Linked DNA regions of Oryctolagus cuniculus. Each later gene encodes a partner of the first gene's protein in a complex. Links are inferred from orthologs where the notes say so. Each region holds a gene or a part of one and is shown on either strand. Other genes may lie near its edges.

Region 1 (7,911 bases):
CTCCCATGTGGGTGCAGGGGCCCAGGGATCTGGGCCGTCCTCTGCTGCTTTCCCAGGCACACTGGTGGGCAGCTGGATCAGAAGTGGAGCAGCTGGGACTAGAATTTGTGCCTGTATGGAATACCAGTGTCTCAGGCTGGCCACACCACAGTGTCAGCCCACAACAGAGAAGCGCCCACCCGGCTGGCGCTGTGGCCACCATGGCTGTGATACCTGCTGCAGCGTGGAGCCCGTGGTCACGCTGCCCAGCTGCTTTCTGAGCTCTTCCAGCTCCTGCATGGACATCTTGGAGGCCGTGGCGGAGACGCTGAAGCCGGCAGCACTGCTGGCGGCAGCGCTGGCCGCGAGCTCGCCTCTGTCCTTCGCATTCTGATGCAGATACTGCAGGGTCTGAAACATGCAGACTGTGTGTCCACAACGGGCCGGCAGAGTCTGTGCACCTCACTGGACAGTCACGCCCGGTCCTTTCTAACTCAGATGCCCACACGGGACACGAGGAGGGCCCTGCAGCCCCACAGGGAGGACACTCTGCAGTCTGCTCTGAGCTGTCCTTGTGGTCAGCACGTCCAGCGGCCCCTGAGCCTGGACTAGAGGACAGAAACCAGCAGGTCACTGGCTGGGCCCCTCTGCCTCATGTTCTCCTCACACCCGGTGCAGACCCACCCAGCCGAGGTGACGCCCGCTCGACGCACCGGCACCTGGCCTCCGGGCGTTACTGGCAGGGGGCAGGTGGGAGCTGGGCAGCAGGCACACGTCACTCGGCTCTGAGACCCTGGAGAGCGCCCTTCCCAGCGTCCCCATGTTGGGCACAGGGCGCCTACCTCTCTGTCTTCTGTAAGCTTTGACAACAGGTACACCAGGGGGTCAAGGTTCCTCGTGTTTTTGGATTTCAGTTCATCGTATTTCTTTAGAAAGTCTTCTGGAGTGCGGGAAAACTCAGCAATTTTAACCTTAAAAGCACACACATAAGTGATTTAATGGCCACAATTAAAGTCAAAAAAAACTAAACCAGGTCAGCTAAGTTACCCTATTTGTCTCTGAAAGAAAACTAACGACTCCACACAGACCCAGGCCTTGCCACGCAGCTGCTCTCGGGTCAGGCCGTGAGGGCTTTGGCCACTCGCGAGCCCCACATCTCCTGCTGTCCACGGCCCAGAGCTCGCGTGGCCGAGGGTGCTCCTGTGTGCCCCTCAGCCCCCCATCCACACGTGATCTGTCACATCCTGCCATTGCTCCGCCATCTAAATAAAACTTCCCCACTCATTTTTAGAAGACTTCAAATTCAAGATCACTTTCCACTGAAGACTTTATTTTGAACGACGTATTACTTGAACAGAGAAACAGTGCTTTAAAGGGATTTCAACGTGGCCAACGCCAGCAGCTTCTCTTCCTGTTCACAGGAAAGGCTGTGGTCTCTCCCCGGTCTCCACTTACTCATCTCTGGGGTGGGCAAAGGGCAGGAGCTGGTGTGAGACGCGGGCCGGCCTGGTGTGCAGGATGTGGTCACGGGCACCAGGGACGGGACCCGCCAGCGTGGTCCCGCAAGGCCCTGCGGAGCGGGCAGGCGCTCACCTTGGCGCTGTGGGCGGAGACGGTGGTGGAGACGTAGGGCGTCCGGTTCTTCTGCAGCAGGTCGATGTAGACCTCAGCCCCGTCGCCCCCGTGCACACGCAGCAGGCTGAGCAGCTCGTTGACGTCGTGGTGAATCCGAAACTCACTCATGGCTGCGGCTCCCCGTCACCAGCATCGCGGTGCGCCTTCCAGAGGGGAAACCAAGCCTGCAGCACACGGTGACGAGGACCTGACGTGCCACGGCTGGGCCCTGAACAGGGCAACTCGGCCCCAGCCCCCAGCTCCTTCCTGACCACCTGCCGCCTCCGTGTGCCGCCAGCTGCATGGCACTCAGCTATGCCACAGACCAGACAACCAGCCCCAGCGGGAAGAATCATTGTGACCCCAAAGGTCTTAATTCTTTTTTTTTTATGATAGGCCAAGTGACACAGAGAAAGAGAGAGAAAAGGAGATCTTTTATCTGCTGGTTCACTCCCCAAATGGCCGCAGCAGCTGGGGGTGGGCCGGGCCCAAGCCAGGAGCCGGGAAGCCCATCCAGGCTCTCCCACGTGGTGCAGGGGCCCAAGCACTGGGGCTTCCTGGGGCTTTCCCAGGTGCATCAGCAGGCAGCTGGCCTGGAGGCAGAGCAGCCAGGACTTGAACCTGCGCCCCCACATGGATGCCGCCGTCACAGATGGTGAGCCAACCCGTGTGCCAGTGCCGGCTCCCTCTGTCCTCCACCAGGGAGCCCTCAGCTGGTGGACAGAACAGACACGGCAGCTCTGCCCCTTTGGGACTCCAGGATTTGGACAGGCCGGGGGAGGGATGCTGTGCACAGGCCAAATGCATGGAGAGTGGAGCCGGGTCACGCGCGGGAGGCCCCCTCCAGGCTCTCCACCCTCTGTGTGCCGCCGCCTCCCAGGACCCACACGCTGCTTCTTCCTGCCCAGGCCCAGCTCAGGATGGGCAGGCCCCGGAGGGCGTCACGTTCTCACTGCTCCCTACACTGTTCGCCTGGGGTCATTTCAGCTCAGCCTGCCCAGGTCATCAGCTGTCCTAGGGTCCCATGTCAGTCAGACGCTCCCAGTGGACAGCAGCAGACTACACAGGCGTCCCCACCGCACTGGTGCCTGCTGCTGCCGGGGCTGCCCAGGCACTCGTGATGGGCCCGAGGGCACTGTGACTTCCCCAGACCCAAAAGCAGACTTGACAGCCCTAGAAAACCACTTGGCGTCCAACCTGGAACCTACAAGTAACGTGCAAATCCTGGAAGTCAGAGGCAAAATGATTCATGTCTGTGTTTTCTGAGTGACGGTCTCCCACCAAGTTCTCAAAGGCTCTGTGATTCCAAAATGGTTAAGAACCACTCCACAGGGCCAGCGCTGAGGCGTAGCGGGTAAAGCTGTCGCCTGCAGTGCCGGAATCCCACACGGGCGCAGGTTCCAGTCCCAGCTGCTCCACTTCCAATCCAGCTTTCTGCTGTGGCCTGGGAAAGCAGCAGACGGTGGCCCAAGTCCTTGGGCCATGTGGGAGACCTGGAGGGAGCTCCAGCCACTGCGGCCATTTGGGGAGTGAACCAGCAGACGAAGACCTCCTCTCCCTAACATAAAACAAACAAAACCCCCACCGTGCCAGCAAGCTACCGGCCCCACAGCTTCAGCGAGGCCAAGCTCTAAGTCAGACGCCCCAGCAAGCACACCAAAGGCGCCAGGCACTCGGCTTCCCGACCACGGCTGAGCGTCGGGGTGGACTCGGTCTCCTGGTCACCGCACGGGCATCCCACACTGGCCGCACGCTTCCGAGTCGGGAGGTGCTCACAGCAGCCCACGGGGCAGCACGAGGCCAGCAGGGAGCGGACGCCGGCACCCCGGGGAGTCGCCGATGCTGCCGGGCAGGCGCGGGAGGCCCAGGCCGGTTCCCACACCGCCGCCCCGCGCCCAACACCACCAGAGCCTCCTCGGACCCCCGGCCGCCAGGCCTCCTGAAGCCGGGGGCTGAGGTTCACGGTGGCCAGGTGGACACCAGGTCAAGCGCGCTGAGGGTGGGCCAGAGTCACGCATCGGACGCCACCCGCGGCCAAGAGGCTCGAGGGGTGCAACGTCCAGGCACTGACGCCAACCCGGCTGTCGGCCGGGCCGCTCTCCGGGTCTTGGACACTCCCGCGTCCTCGGCTCTGCGTCCGCGGGCACCCGGAGGCCGTCGCCTCCCGGCGTCCAGCCCGAGCTCGCGCGGGGTCACGCGGGGCCTCGGCCGCTCCGACCAGGTGGGCGCGCGCCCCCGACCAGGCTCCAGGGGTGCCGTCTGCCCGTCCCAGCACGGAAGGACCCTCCCCTCGGGCCGCACGGCGCGTCCTGGGCGCTGCCACCGCTTCCAGGGTCCCGACCGCGACGCGGGCGCTACAGGCCCCTCCGGCGGGAGCCAGCTCCGGGCCACAGGAACCGCGGCCCGGCGGGCGGAAGAGGACGGCTCGGGCCAGCGGCCCGCCCGAACCCCTGCCGGCCTTCGGAGCCCACTCAGCCCCACCACCCCGGACTCACCAGACCCCGAGGCGACCACCCAGTCCCGCGCCGCCTGCCGCCGCCGGAAGCGCACCGACGTCACATCCGGGCGGCAAGTAGGGCCCGCCCCCGGAAGCGCGCTGACGTCACGGCGCACCCTACGTTCGAGGTGGGCAGTGGCCGGCAGGCTGGGAGCCGCAGGCCCCTGAGGGGATGCTGCTGCCGCCTGCGCTGCGCGCCCGTCTGGCTGGCGGGCCTGGGGCGGCCGAGCCGCTGCCCGTGGAGCGGGACCCCGCGGCGGGCGCCTCTCCGTTCTGCTTTGCGGCGCGCCAGGAGCGCTTCCCGCGGGAGCACGAGTTCTTCGAGGTGAAGAGAGCAGAACGGTGGTCGGGGGGCGGGGCCTCGAGGGTGGGCAGGGCGGGGGCGGGGCCCTGAGGGGAGGGCCCGGAGAGATGGGCGGGGCGGGGCCTTGAGGGCGGGCACGCGTTGGGGGCGGGGCCTTGGAGTGGGTCTGGTTGGCGGGCAGGGCCCTGAGGGGCTGACTAGAGAGGAAGCGGGGACCTTGAGGGCGGGCCCGGAGAGATGGGCGTGGGGGGGCCTCCTGTGAGCGGGGCCTTGAGGGTGGGCCCGAGCGGTGGGCAGGGCCTTGAGGGGCGGGAGGTGGGCTGGGCCTGTGATGGGCTGGCCTGGGGTGTGGCAGACTGCGCCCGAGCTCCGGGGGCCCGCCCACAGCACGGCTCTCTCGCAGGAAGGGGATGTGCAGCGGCACCTGTACCTCCAGGATGTGCTCACGCAGGTGGCCGAGGTGCCGGACAGGCCCAGGTGAGCAGCTCGGGCCAGGCCCCCACCCGTCCTGTGCCCGGAGCAGCCTGAGCCGAGCGAGCGCCCCCCATCCCGCCCGCGAGCTCCAGAGGGTGGGCTCCAGGCTGCCTGCTGTGCGCATCTTCATCCGCCCCCCCCCCCCCCCCCCCGTCTGGTGCGCAGGCAGCTTTCGGGGCGTCTCGGGCGGGGGCGTGGCGACGGTCAGGGGTCCAGCTCGGCCTCTGTCCTCGCCAGGGTGCCGGAGTTCACCTGCCAGGTGGCCGGCTGCTGCCAGGTGTTCGACACGCTGGAGTGCTACGAGCACCACTACCACACGCTGCACAGGAACGTGTGCGCCTTCTGCCAGCGGGCCTTCCCCTCCGGACACCTGCTGGACGCCCACGTGCTGGAGTGGCACGACTCGCTCTTCCAGGTCCTGTCCGAGAGGCAGGACATGGTGGGTGCCGGGCCGGTGGGCGGCGGGGCGTGGCGGCGGGGCGGGCGGTGACGCGGCTGCCTTTCAGTACCAGTGCCTGGTGGAGGGCTGCCCGGAGAGGTTCAAGACCAGCGAGGCCCGGAAGGACCACCTGGTGAGGGTTCACCTGTACCCTGCAGACTTCCGCTTTGATAAAGCAAAGAAAAGCAGAGGGTAGGTGAGGGGCCTGGCCGGCGGCTGGCCGGCGGTGCCCTGGGTTCAGAGGTCACCTCTGTGCTCTGCGGCTGAGCGCCTGTGGGTGGCCCCAGCAGTGGGCAGGGGTCACTGACGGGGGGAAGGGGGAGGGCAGATCCCTGGCTCCTGGCTCTGTGCTGGGGCAGCAGAGGGGAGTTGGGAGCGAGCGGGCGGCTGCCTTCCCTGCACTCATGACTCCTGGCCTTCTGACCTCCTGACCTCTGAGCAGCCTTGGGAGCTGCCCCAGACCCCGCCCCCCTGGGGCATCAGTTTTCTGTCCTGCGGTGCAACTGCTCAGGGCCCTGGGGGAGATGCCCCCCGGGATTCTGGAATTGCGTGCTATTTCTTTGCCTTTTTTAAGAAAAAAAATTTTGGTTTATTTGAAAGAGTATGGGGGGAGAGAGGGAGGGAGGGGGAGAGAGAGATCTTCTGTCTTCTGGTTCACTCCCCAGATGGCTGCAGTGGCCAGGGCTGGACCAGGCCAATGCCAGGAGCCAGGAAGTTCATCCGGGTCTCTCACGAAGGTGCAAGGGCCTTAGCACCTGGTCCACCCTCCTCTGCTTTCCCAGGCCATCAGCAGGGAGCTGGATCAGAAGTGGAGCAGCTGGGACTCGAACCAGCACTCATGTGGGATGCAGTGCTGTACCCGCTGTGCCACAGCGCCAGCCCCGGAGGGCTCATGTTAAGGGGAAGCCTGTAGTGCTAGATTGAGAGGTTGGTATCAGGGAGGGTGTTCCCTAGTCTTGGGCGAGTCCAGTAAATCTCTCGTGAGAGGCCTTTGGGGGGCTGGGGTTGTGGTTCAGCCGGTGAAGCTGCCCCTGCAGCAGCAGCAGCCCTTACCAGAGCGCCGGGTCCACCAGCGGCTCTGCTCCCACGCCTGCTCATGCTCCTGTGGGGGGCAGTGAGGCCCAGGTGCCTGGGCCCTGCACCCACATGGGAGACCTGGTGGAGCGCCTGGCTCCCGGCTTCAGCCTGGCCCAGCCCTGGCTGTGTGGGCCTCTGGGGAGTGAGCCAGCGGAGGGAGATCTCGCCCACGTGGGTGCAGGGAGCTTGGTCGGAAGTGGAGCAGGGACACAAACTGGTGCCCACGTGGGAGGCCCACGTCCAGGCAGCTTTGTGTGCTACGCCACAGTGCTGGCCCCAGAGATAAATCCAGAAGAGCGAACCCTGGTGGGCATCTACCACGTGGCACTGAAGGAGCTGGGGTCACAGCAGGTGTGAGGTGGTTCACTGAGGGTCAGGGTTCAGCACCAAAGTGGTGCCGGTGCCGATCTGCTCCTGGCACACCACAGACTGTGCCGAAACAGTAAGAGGCTGTGGTCTCCTGGAAAGTTCTCAGGGAAATAGGACCGAAGCCGCTGGTCACTCTCTGTCTTCCACAGCCCAGCCATGCCAGGGGCCAGAGTGAGCACGTCTGCAGGAGCCCCGCGGGATGACGGGGAGCAGTCAGAAGGGGACGCCATGGAGGTCGGCGCTGAGCCTGGGGCAGCCCCGGCAGCACCCTCGGCGGAGCGGAGGGCCTCGGGTCGCAGGTCAGCCTCTGTCTTCCAGAGCCTGTCCTGGGTGTGTGCAGACCGGGCAGTGCTGGCCGCGGCCTGGGCCGAGTTCTTGCCGAGTCAGCCTGGGTTTTTCTTCAACTCTGGTTCTGGGCGGCAGGAACGCATTGGGCCCGCAGCCCTGGGGTCCTCGCAGGTTGACTGTGCTTGTGTTGGGTTAGCGCTACTTCGGACCTAATCTGGGGGAAATGCCCCAAAATGGGGAAAAACCTCCAAAGAATCCAGCCCTGGGCACCAGCAGGTGGTCAGGGTTTCTGTCAGGCGAGGTGATCTCCAGAGCCCGCCGAGGCAGGAGGGGTGGGGGTGGGATGGGCGGTGTGTCGGGCACGGGGTTGGGAGAGGGGGCTGCAGAATGAAAGGCGTGTGCGCACTGGCCTCTGCGTGACAGAGCCTTCTCTTCCAGGGTTCCCCCCACCATCTGCTTTGGCCAGGGCGCATCCCGCGGGTTTAGAAGCACCACGAGAAGAGGCAAGCACCAGTGATGGGGCCGGCAGAGGCCCCCCAGGCCGGGGCAGGCTGGCCCCTGTGGCAGGTGTGGTGGGCGGGGCCTGCTGTCCTGGGCTGGGGCCCTGCCCAGTGAGGGCAGAGCTGTTGCCAGAGCAGTGAGGCACCTGCAGGTTCTAGAAACCACGTGGGTGCCCTCTCCAAACATGTGCAATGACTTCTTCACCGATGGTCTCCTGCGTCTGGGATGGAGTGTTCTGTTCTGGACTTCAGTTTCCCGGGAGACCCGGGAGCTTCAGGCCTCTGAGAGGTTGGGGTGCCGGGAAGAGTTGGAGGAGGCGGCCCCACCGTGGGCTCAGCTGCCGAGGGCAGCTCAGACCGGGGAGACAAC
Region 2 (7,860 bases), on another chromosome or scaffold:
CGGTGGGCTGAGGGCAGGTAGGGAGACTTCCTCGACAGGGCCACCTGGATGCTGGCTGGGCCCCAGGGGATGAAGTTGGCCAACTTCCGTTCCCGGATCCTCTGCAGGCTCTTGTGGACCTGGGTGGGCACAGTGGGAGGTGGCAGCCTCTCTGTGCCCCTGCGGCTTCAGGCTAGGAGGAAGGGGCCTCCCCTACCTGGGTGGGGTCCACCTCCCCCTGGATGATGTTGAGGATGGCGATGTAGCAGTGGTTGGTCTGGCGGTCCCGGCCTGTGGACACCATCACGTTCTTGGGCTGCAGCAGCCGCCGCATGACGTCCAGGACCGTGGTCTTCCTCACGCTGGCCACCTGAGGGGTGGGATAGCGGTCACAGGGGCCAGACCAGCACTCGGGGCACCGGGCAGGGATGCAGAGGAGCCAGCACACCCCGGCAGACTTGGAGCAGTGCGGCCTCTCAGGCAGGACCAGCGTCAGCTCACAGACATGTCCTCGTGCAGGAGCCAACAGCGCTCCCCACGCCACGGGGCCTGCAGGAGCCCAGGGCAGAGGGAAGGTGGAGACGAGGCAGCGAGACAGTCCCACGCTCTGCCAGTGCCTGAGTGCAAGGCCTCTGGGGGCTGCAATGGGCAGCTGCCAGGGCAGCGAGGAGAGGAGAGGCCAGGTCAGGGCCAGCTGGCCCGGGACACTGAGGGCTGCTCTTACTGACTGGTCCGTGGTGAGGGGGGTGTAGCCGGTCATGAGGAAGTGGAGCCGGGGCGTGGGGATGAGCGAGGCGATGAGGCCGATGAGGTCGTTGTTCATGTAGCCGGGGTAGCGCAGGGTGGTGGTGCTGGCTGACATGATGGTGGACACCTGGGGACAGGGGTGCTGTGTCATGGGCCTGGCCTGGGTAGGACCCCTCCCCCCTCCCCCGACAGTCCTCCCTCAGGGAGGACTTCCAGTGGGAAGGAGTGCAGAGGTGGGCTCACCAGCTGGTTGATCTGGGAGAAGGATGGGTTCTGGATGTGCAGGCGGTCCGTGGCTATCCGGTTCAGGGCTGTGTTGTCCAGCACCACCTGGAGGGGACAGACAGGGTGGCATAGACATGAAATATTGGCTGAGCACCTGCTAAGCTGTAAAGGCAGTCAGTAGCTTTGCTAGTTTACAAGGAAAGCATTCTTTGGGGGTATTATGAGTCCCTCTGGACAGTGCAGGGCAGTAAACAAATCTGTGAGTGTCCTCTGTGCCACACTTTGTGCCTGGGTCTGGAGTGACCACAGAGTGAAAACGGGCACGGTCTTGCCCTCGCCAGGCCTCCAGCCTAGTTGAGGGAGGCTGACATTGAATACAGAACAGAAAAAAGACGCTGTTAACCTGAAATATGACAAAGGAAGCTGACCTTGACTGGGTAGGCAGCGAAGTTTCACTAAGACAGTGACCCCTGAGCTGGAGCTGAAACGTGAGCAGGCACTGAGTGGGCTGAGTGGCTTATGTGGTGGCAGGGGGAGGCAGTCCCTGTGCTGGGGGACTGGCTGCCTAAAGTCACATAAGCACCCTGGAGGTTGCGACCTTACTTCGCAGTCCGACCACGGGTCTGGCTTTGGTGGTTCTTTTTGTGCTGGGCAGGGCAGGGCAGGCTGGCTGTGACTCAGGGGGGTCCCACAGCCCTCGACTCCCTCTTCTTTTGCTCACCACGCAGTCTGCGTTCTGAGTCAGCCGCTTGAGCGTGAGGAGCGAGTTGTAGGGCTGGACCACCACGTCGCTCATCTCGTCCTGGTTGGGAAACACTGAGTAGGTCTGCACCAGCTTCTTGGGGTACCTGAGGGTGAAGAAGAAGGAAAGGGGGAGGGTGGCACAGAGAAGCAACAGGACTTACCGGACTGCTCACTCTGTCTTCTGTGGGGACAATGGGCACCACGATTTTCGTGTGCCACCAAGCTCTTGTACAGTAGCAGGGTAAGGGCGGGACTCAGTCTTCAGAATGAACAGGATAAGCTGCAAGCATCAAACTCTAGATCTCCCCTGTCCCCAGGTGCCCCCCCCCCCAGGTGTTGGTTGCTGCCAAGGTTACCTGGGTGGGTCTGTCTCTAGGACTCAAAAGCAGTAGGGGCAGGCCTTCCCGCTCAGAAGGAAAAGGGGACCCGGGCTAATGCCCTCCTAACAAACACCGGCCTACCTGTCATTCAGCCGTTCCAGGAGGTAGGAGCCCATGCCAGAGCCGGTCCCCCCGGCAATGGAGTGACACAGCACGAAGCCCTGTGTGGGAGTGAAGGACAGGCAGTGACCAGGGACCTGGGCAGGGGGAGGGGGAGGCTGCCAGCTTGTCTCATTCCCCACCCACTCGCAACACACTCGTGCCTCAAGGCTTCCTCTGTGTCCGTCCAGGCCGAGGCTCCTTGGGAAGACTCAGGGCTTGGGGACAGGCTGAGGGATTCACACCCTCCAGGCTACGGCTTCCCTGAGAACAAGGACTGCACCTTATCTACCTCAAGATCCCAAACCAGATGCTCAACAAATGGGCCTGGAATTGGACTGCCACCATCCCAGGGCCTGCTCGGGCCACCGCCTGACCCCCAACACGCCGCAGCCCCTCTCCGCTGCACCCCACGGGAGCTGGGGAGAAGCTCACCTCAAGACTGTCGCTTCCGTCCGCTTCCCGGTCTATGATGTCGAAGATGTCCTCGTGGATCTTCTCACCCTGGACAGAGACATGGCAGAGAGTCAGGTCCAAGGTTCTCTGTTCAGCAACAAGAATTCCACAAGGGAGGGCGGCGGGGGAGGGCTTTGTGACCCCCCTGAAGCAGAGCTTCAGCTCTTGCCCTCAACGCAGAAATGATACTTTGTGACTTGTACAAAATTTGCATAAAGCTCTCCCTGGCTGTCCCTTTGTCAAAGCATCCCTTTATCTCTTACGTATCAGAAATCTGTTCTGGTCAAATTCCCAGGTTGCCTGAGCCTGCCTTGCCCCAGGGTGGGACTATCCAAGGGTCCCCGGCTTGGACACCTGGGAGAATCCCCTGGCCCAGTTGTTGCCAGCTCCTCCTCCGTGCTCAGCCAGGTAGATGTTCTCCGGGTTGTAGAGCTTGGCGTAGGGAGAGTTGAGGATGGAGTGGATCACCCGGGGCTCCAGGTCCAGCAGCACGGCCCGCGGGATGTAGTGCTCATCATCGGCCTGCCAGCGAGAGGCCGGGAAGGGGCGGCCCCGTCAGCCGGCGCCACCGCCGGCCCAGGCCCCAGTCCAGTCCCACTCGGGCTCCTGCCGGGCCTCCCTCCCCGAGCCAGCCGCGGGGCCCTGTGCCCAGCGGGCTCCCCAGCACCAGCCCCTGCCCCGTCCCTTCAGGCCCCCGGGGTCCTGGCCCAGCCGCCGGGGGCACCTGGTAGAAAAAGACGTCCTTGCGGTCCGTGCCCTCGGTGGCGAACTCCTCCACGATGCCCTCGGGGCTGATACCATGCTCGGCGCACAGCTGTTTCCAGAACTCGAAACCAACTGGGGAGAGGGGAGACGCCCGGGTCTGCGAGAGCCGAAAGGCCTGGGCAGCTCAGCGTCAGGCTCTGAGGCTGCCACTCTCGGAGCGTGCGCCCAGGACGCCGGCTCTGGGAGCCGTCACAGCCCAGGGCCTGCGTGGTCATGCGCAGTAGGGCAGGGGGTTCACGAGAGGGAGAGGGGACCCGGTGGGAACCAAGCACTCCCGTGGACCCCGAAGGGGCAGAACGAGAGAGTGGCGGGGCCCGGAGCTCGCTTGCTCACTCTGGTTGCCGCACTGGCCCAGCTGCAGGGTGATGATCTCCCGGGGCATCGCTCTGCGGACACGGGCCCGGCGGGAGTCACGGCCGAGACGAACGCCCGGCAGCCGGGCGCGCAGGACGTGGGCAGCGCGCGCTCCCCTCGCCTCTCGACGCGAGCGCTCGGTCTGCGCGTGTGCAGTGCGGGCGTCTGCTCCGCCGGCGGGCCGCGGAGCCCAACCTGGGCATCATTTTCCCCCATGGCAGGCGCAGCTGGAATTCGGCACAGGCGCAGAGCGAGGCCACGCCCCCGCCTGCCCACCTCTCCGCGCCTGCGCCCTGAGACTGGCGGGGGCTCGCAGGGTCGCGACCTTAGGCTGCGGGCAGGTGGGGAGAGGACGGCTGGGTGCACTAGGTAGTCCGGGTGTAGGTCCTGATGCCCTAAGGACTGTCAGCTCCGCTGGGGCCTGGGCTGGATCCAAGGCAACTTTCTTCCTTTAAATTTCTATTTTTCTAAAATTGTTTGACATACTCGTGCACAGCATAAAATCCATCATTTCAACAGTTAACAGACATTAAGTATACTCGCATTGTTCTGTACCCATCAGCACCCTCCATTTTCAGAGCATTTTCTCTTTCCCAAACTGAAACCTTACCCATTAAACAGCAACTTCCCGTCTTCGGCGCAGACCCTGGAAGTCACCATTCTTTCTCTATTAAAGCTGAATAATATTCCGTGGCATAGATACACCACATTTGTTTATCCACTCAAACCTCGGCGGACACTTGTTCCACCTTTTGGCCATTTTGAATAGTGCCCCTTTGGACGCGGGTGTACAGATATCTATTTAACTCCTTGCTTGCATACCCGGAAGTAGGATTGCTGATAACTGTGTCTAATTGAGGAATCGCCATACTCTTTTCCACAGCAGCTGCACAAGATTACGTTCCCACTGGCAGTGCTGAGGGGTTCCAGTGTTATCTCCAGCAACACTTGTTCCTCGCTAGCTTTTGATCATAGCCTGGGTGTGAAGTGGTATCTCTGAGGCTCTGTTTTACTCTAAATTACCGGAAAGGTGACATAGACAACATAATTTTATATTTTTACCATCTATTTTTGTGTTTTGAAATTTATATAAATGATACCAAAGTATAATATCAGAGAAAAGCAGCTTGCTTTTTTCACCTTACATTAGGGCTTTTTGTGATGTAGCCGTGTTAATATGGGTAGATTTAGTTCATCCCTTTTAACTGCTGTATTGTATTTCAGTGGACAAACAAAAGCAGTTTATTCTACTTCCAAACGAGTGGGGTTAGATTGTTCTCAATTAGTGGAAGGCCAGATGGGAAAGGGTGATTAACCGATACTAAGTTATAGTTAGACAGGAGAAAGGCATTCTGGTGTTGAATTGGCCTGTGGGGTGACTATGGATGACAGTAAAGTATTGTTTGCTTTCTTAAAAAGCTAGAACCCTCAAGAGCTGATAAATGTTTGCAGAGACAGATATGTTTTCTGTGGTTTGAACATCACACCATGTACGCGTTTGGAGATGTCACATAGTACTCCATACAATGCACAGTTTTGATGTTTTTTAAAGATTGTTCTCAATAACCCCCCACCACAGGGGCACAGGAGCTGCCTGCCTACGAACAGGAAGCGCCAAGTCTCTGTGGAGGCTTGCACAGCTTGGGGCTTATTCCTGACCGGCTGCACTCTTCCCAGCCCGAGTTGTTTCCCACAGGCGCACCTGCTCTTGGGCTGCCAGGTACTGGTTTTGTCAGTTCCACAGAGGCTGAAGGGGATCTGGAGGGTGGAATGCCCAGTCGCGATGCCGGGCGAGGGCCACTCGCTTTCCTTTTGGGGATGCCTCCTCTGGGACCTGCCCGTGGGTAGCCCTTGCCCGTTTATCTTAGACATTTGCAGTCAGTTCCGCACATCCACCCTTGGACAGCTTGCAGATATCACCTGGGCCTCGTCTTCACATCGAGAAGTGTGTCTTGCCACAGGGACGCTGTCAGTTTTACTGCGGACTTTCCCTTTGTTTCGAGAACTTAAGGAAGCCCCCACCCCACCCCACCCCGGCCCCTACTCGCAGTATCTTCCCTGCTTGCACAACAGTTTTCGCGTGTTCCCGGTAGGTCTCCGGGGCATCTGGAATTTATTTGAGATAGGGAGCTACTTTATTTCTTCCATATGCATGCTCGGAGCCGTCTCGGAACAATTACGGAGCAGCCGGCGCAGCGCCGCCCGCCCCCCCCCCGGAACGTTCCAGGCCGCGCTCCGAGGGGGGCCGGCCCTGGGAGCCCGGGAGGAGCAGGCCAGAGCGCCGCCGAGACTCCCGCTCGGACGCCGGCTCCGGCTTTTGTTTTCTTTTTTTCTCGCTCTTTTTTTTTTTTTTTTAAAGAGAACTCGGCCGCCTTCCAGGCCCCGCCGCCCAGATGCTCCGGGCGGCTCTGGAAGGCTCTGGAGCTCGCCCCGCGCCCGCCCCCGCCGGCCTCGGGCCGTTTCCGTCCCCCCAGCCGTCGTCCGGCTCCGGCGTCCGCACGGGGACCCGGCCTTCTCGCCGGGCCGGGGCGGGTCCGGCCGCTCCCTCTGAGGGTCGAGGGCGGGGCGGGCGCTGCCGCCAGGACGTGCTCCGCGCCGGGGCTGCCCGCGAGCGAGCGGCGTCCGCTTGCCTCGGCCGGGCGGGGGCGGGGGCGCCGGGCTCCTGCGAGCCGCGAGCCGCGAGCCGCGGCCGGTGTGTGTGTGTGTGACCCTAGCGGGTGACGCTTCGCCGCGGCTCGCGACTCCCAACCGTGCCTTGCCCCTGCATCTTCTCTCCCAGAAGTGGGAGCACTCTTCAAATCCGTTTCCAGGCCTGCGGGTTGGAAGGCGTGCGCTTGTCGGCCTTGGAGAAGCTGCGGTGTGTCCATTCTCCTCTCAGAAGCCCTGTCTGATGAGCTGGGGACGGGACACCAACGCTTCGAACCTGAGGCGTCGGGGCCTTCGGCGGGGCTGGCCTTAAGTCTTCCCCCTTAGCACGCTTTCCATTTCTGCTGGGGACCGAGCGATCCCTGCGGCTTATAGGAGAGGGGTCACCAGCACTCTGCACGGAGCCCGACGGCCACTCACGATTCAGCACGTGTTAGCCGCCCTTATCTTTCCGAGATGCAGGCGAACAGAAGCACAGGTGGGCAGCTGCTGTGCATGGCAGAGTTTAGGTAGGGTAGAAGCGGTAGGTGGATTTTTTTTTTTTTTTTTTTTTTTTTTTTTTTTTTTTTTTTGACAGGCAGAGTAGACAGAGACAGAGAGAAAGGTGTTCCTGGCCGGCGCCGCGGCTCACTAGGCTAATCCTCCGCCTAGCGGCGCCGGCACACCGGGTTCTAGTCCCGGTCGGGGCGCCGGATTCTGTCCCGGTTGCCCCTCTTCCAGGCCAGCCCTCTGCTGTGGCCAGGGAGTGCAGTGGAGGATGGCCCAAGTGCTTGGGCCCTGCACCCCATGGGAGACCAGGAAAAGCACCTGGCTCCTGGCTCCTGCCATCGGATCAGCGCGGTGCGCCGGCCGCAGCGTGCCGGCTGCGGCGGCCATTGGAGGGTGAACCAACGGCAAAGGAAGACCTTTCTCTCTGTCTCTCTCTCACTGTCCACTCTGCCTGTGAAAAAAAAAAAAAAAAAAAAAAAAAAAAGAAAGGAAGTGGATTCTTTACATACATTTTATAAAAAGCCAAGTATCATGGCCCTGTAGATCAGTGTCAGATCTGAGCTCTGTTGAAGCTGAGCACGAGGCCCAGGTTCACGATTCTTCCCACGGACCTAAGATCCAGGGTCTCAAGGCCGCTTGCTCGGGGTGGACCGTGCAGTCCTGGCCAGTCTGCGTGCCTCCACGTGCTGCGATCCAGGTTGTGATAAGGTGCTGGTGGTGATGTTCCGGGGAGGCCTGGTCCGCCTCTGCTGAAAATGCAGCTAACAACTAGCTCGTTACTGACACCGCCTCCATGGATCGTCCTAGGTTGAACGGAACGTTTTTGGATGCGTTGTCTTTTCTGGACTCTTCCTGGACACCTGCCCTGCAGGAGGAGCACAGGTAACTTGTGGAGGGGGAGAGGAGTGAGGTAGAGAACTGAGGCTGTCTCCGTGACTGCGAGGAAGGGCTGTGTGCACATCATGGCTATCCACCT

What was found. Proteins that work in one complex are often made in the same cells at the same time.
Region 2: TUBGCP2 (region 1) and TUBG2 share a complex: the UniProt entries of both Homo sapiens proteins name them as parts of the gamma-tubulin ring complex. The link is inferred for Oryctolagus cuniculus from reciprocal best matches to the Homo sapiens genes TUBGCP2 and TUBG2.

The regions. Positions count from the first base shown.
Region 1 is NC_091446.1:256,413-264,323, reverse strand, and holds the start of TUBGCP2 (gamma-tubulin complex component 2), read right to left. Parts: upstream 4,228-7,911; 5' UTR 4,089-4,227; intron 1,779-4,088; 5' UTR 1,723-1,778; coding exon 1,573-1,722; intron 951-1,572; coding exon 822-950; intron 391-821; coding exon 214-390; intron 1-213. Other genes in the region: ZNF511 (zinc finger protein 511), read left to right, coding at 4,263-4,415, 4,798-4,871, 5,106-5,307, 5,375-5,499, 5,973-6,231. UniProt on the Homo sapiens protein: Component of the gamma-tubulin ring complex (gTuRC) which mediates microtubule nucleation.
Region 2 is NC_091448.1:20,229,936-20,237,795, forward strand, and holds the start of TUBG2 (tubulin gamma-2 chain), read right to left. Parts: upstream 3,974-7,860; 5' UTR 3,778-3,973; coding exon 3,729-3,777; intron 3,468-3,728; coding exon 3,355-3,467; intron 3,153-3,354; coding exon 2,985-3,152; intron 2,679-2,984; coding exon 2,610-2,678; intron 2,237-2,609; coding exon 2,157-2,236; intron 1,800-2,156; coding exon 1,673-1,799; intron 1,057-1,672; coding exon 970-1,056; intron 854-969; coding exon 704-853; intron 350-703; coding exon 197-349; intron 120-196; coding exon 1-119. UniProt on the Homo sapiens protein: Tubulin is the major constituent of microtubules, protein filaments consisting of alpha- and beta-tubulin heterodimers. Gamma-tubulin is a key component of the gamma-tubulin ring complex (gTuRC) which mediates microtubule nucleation.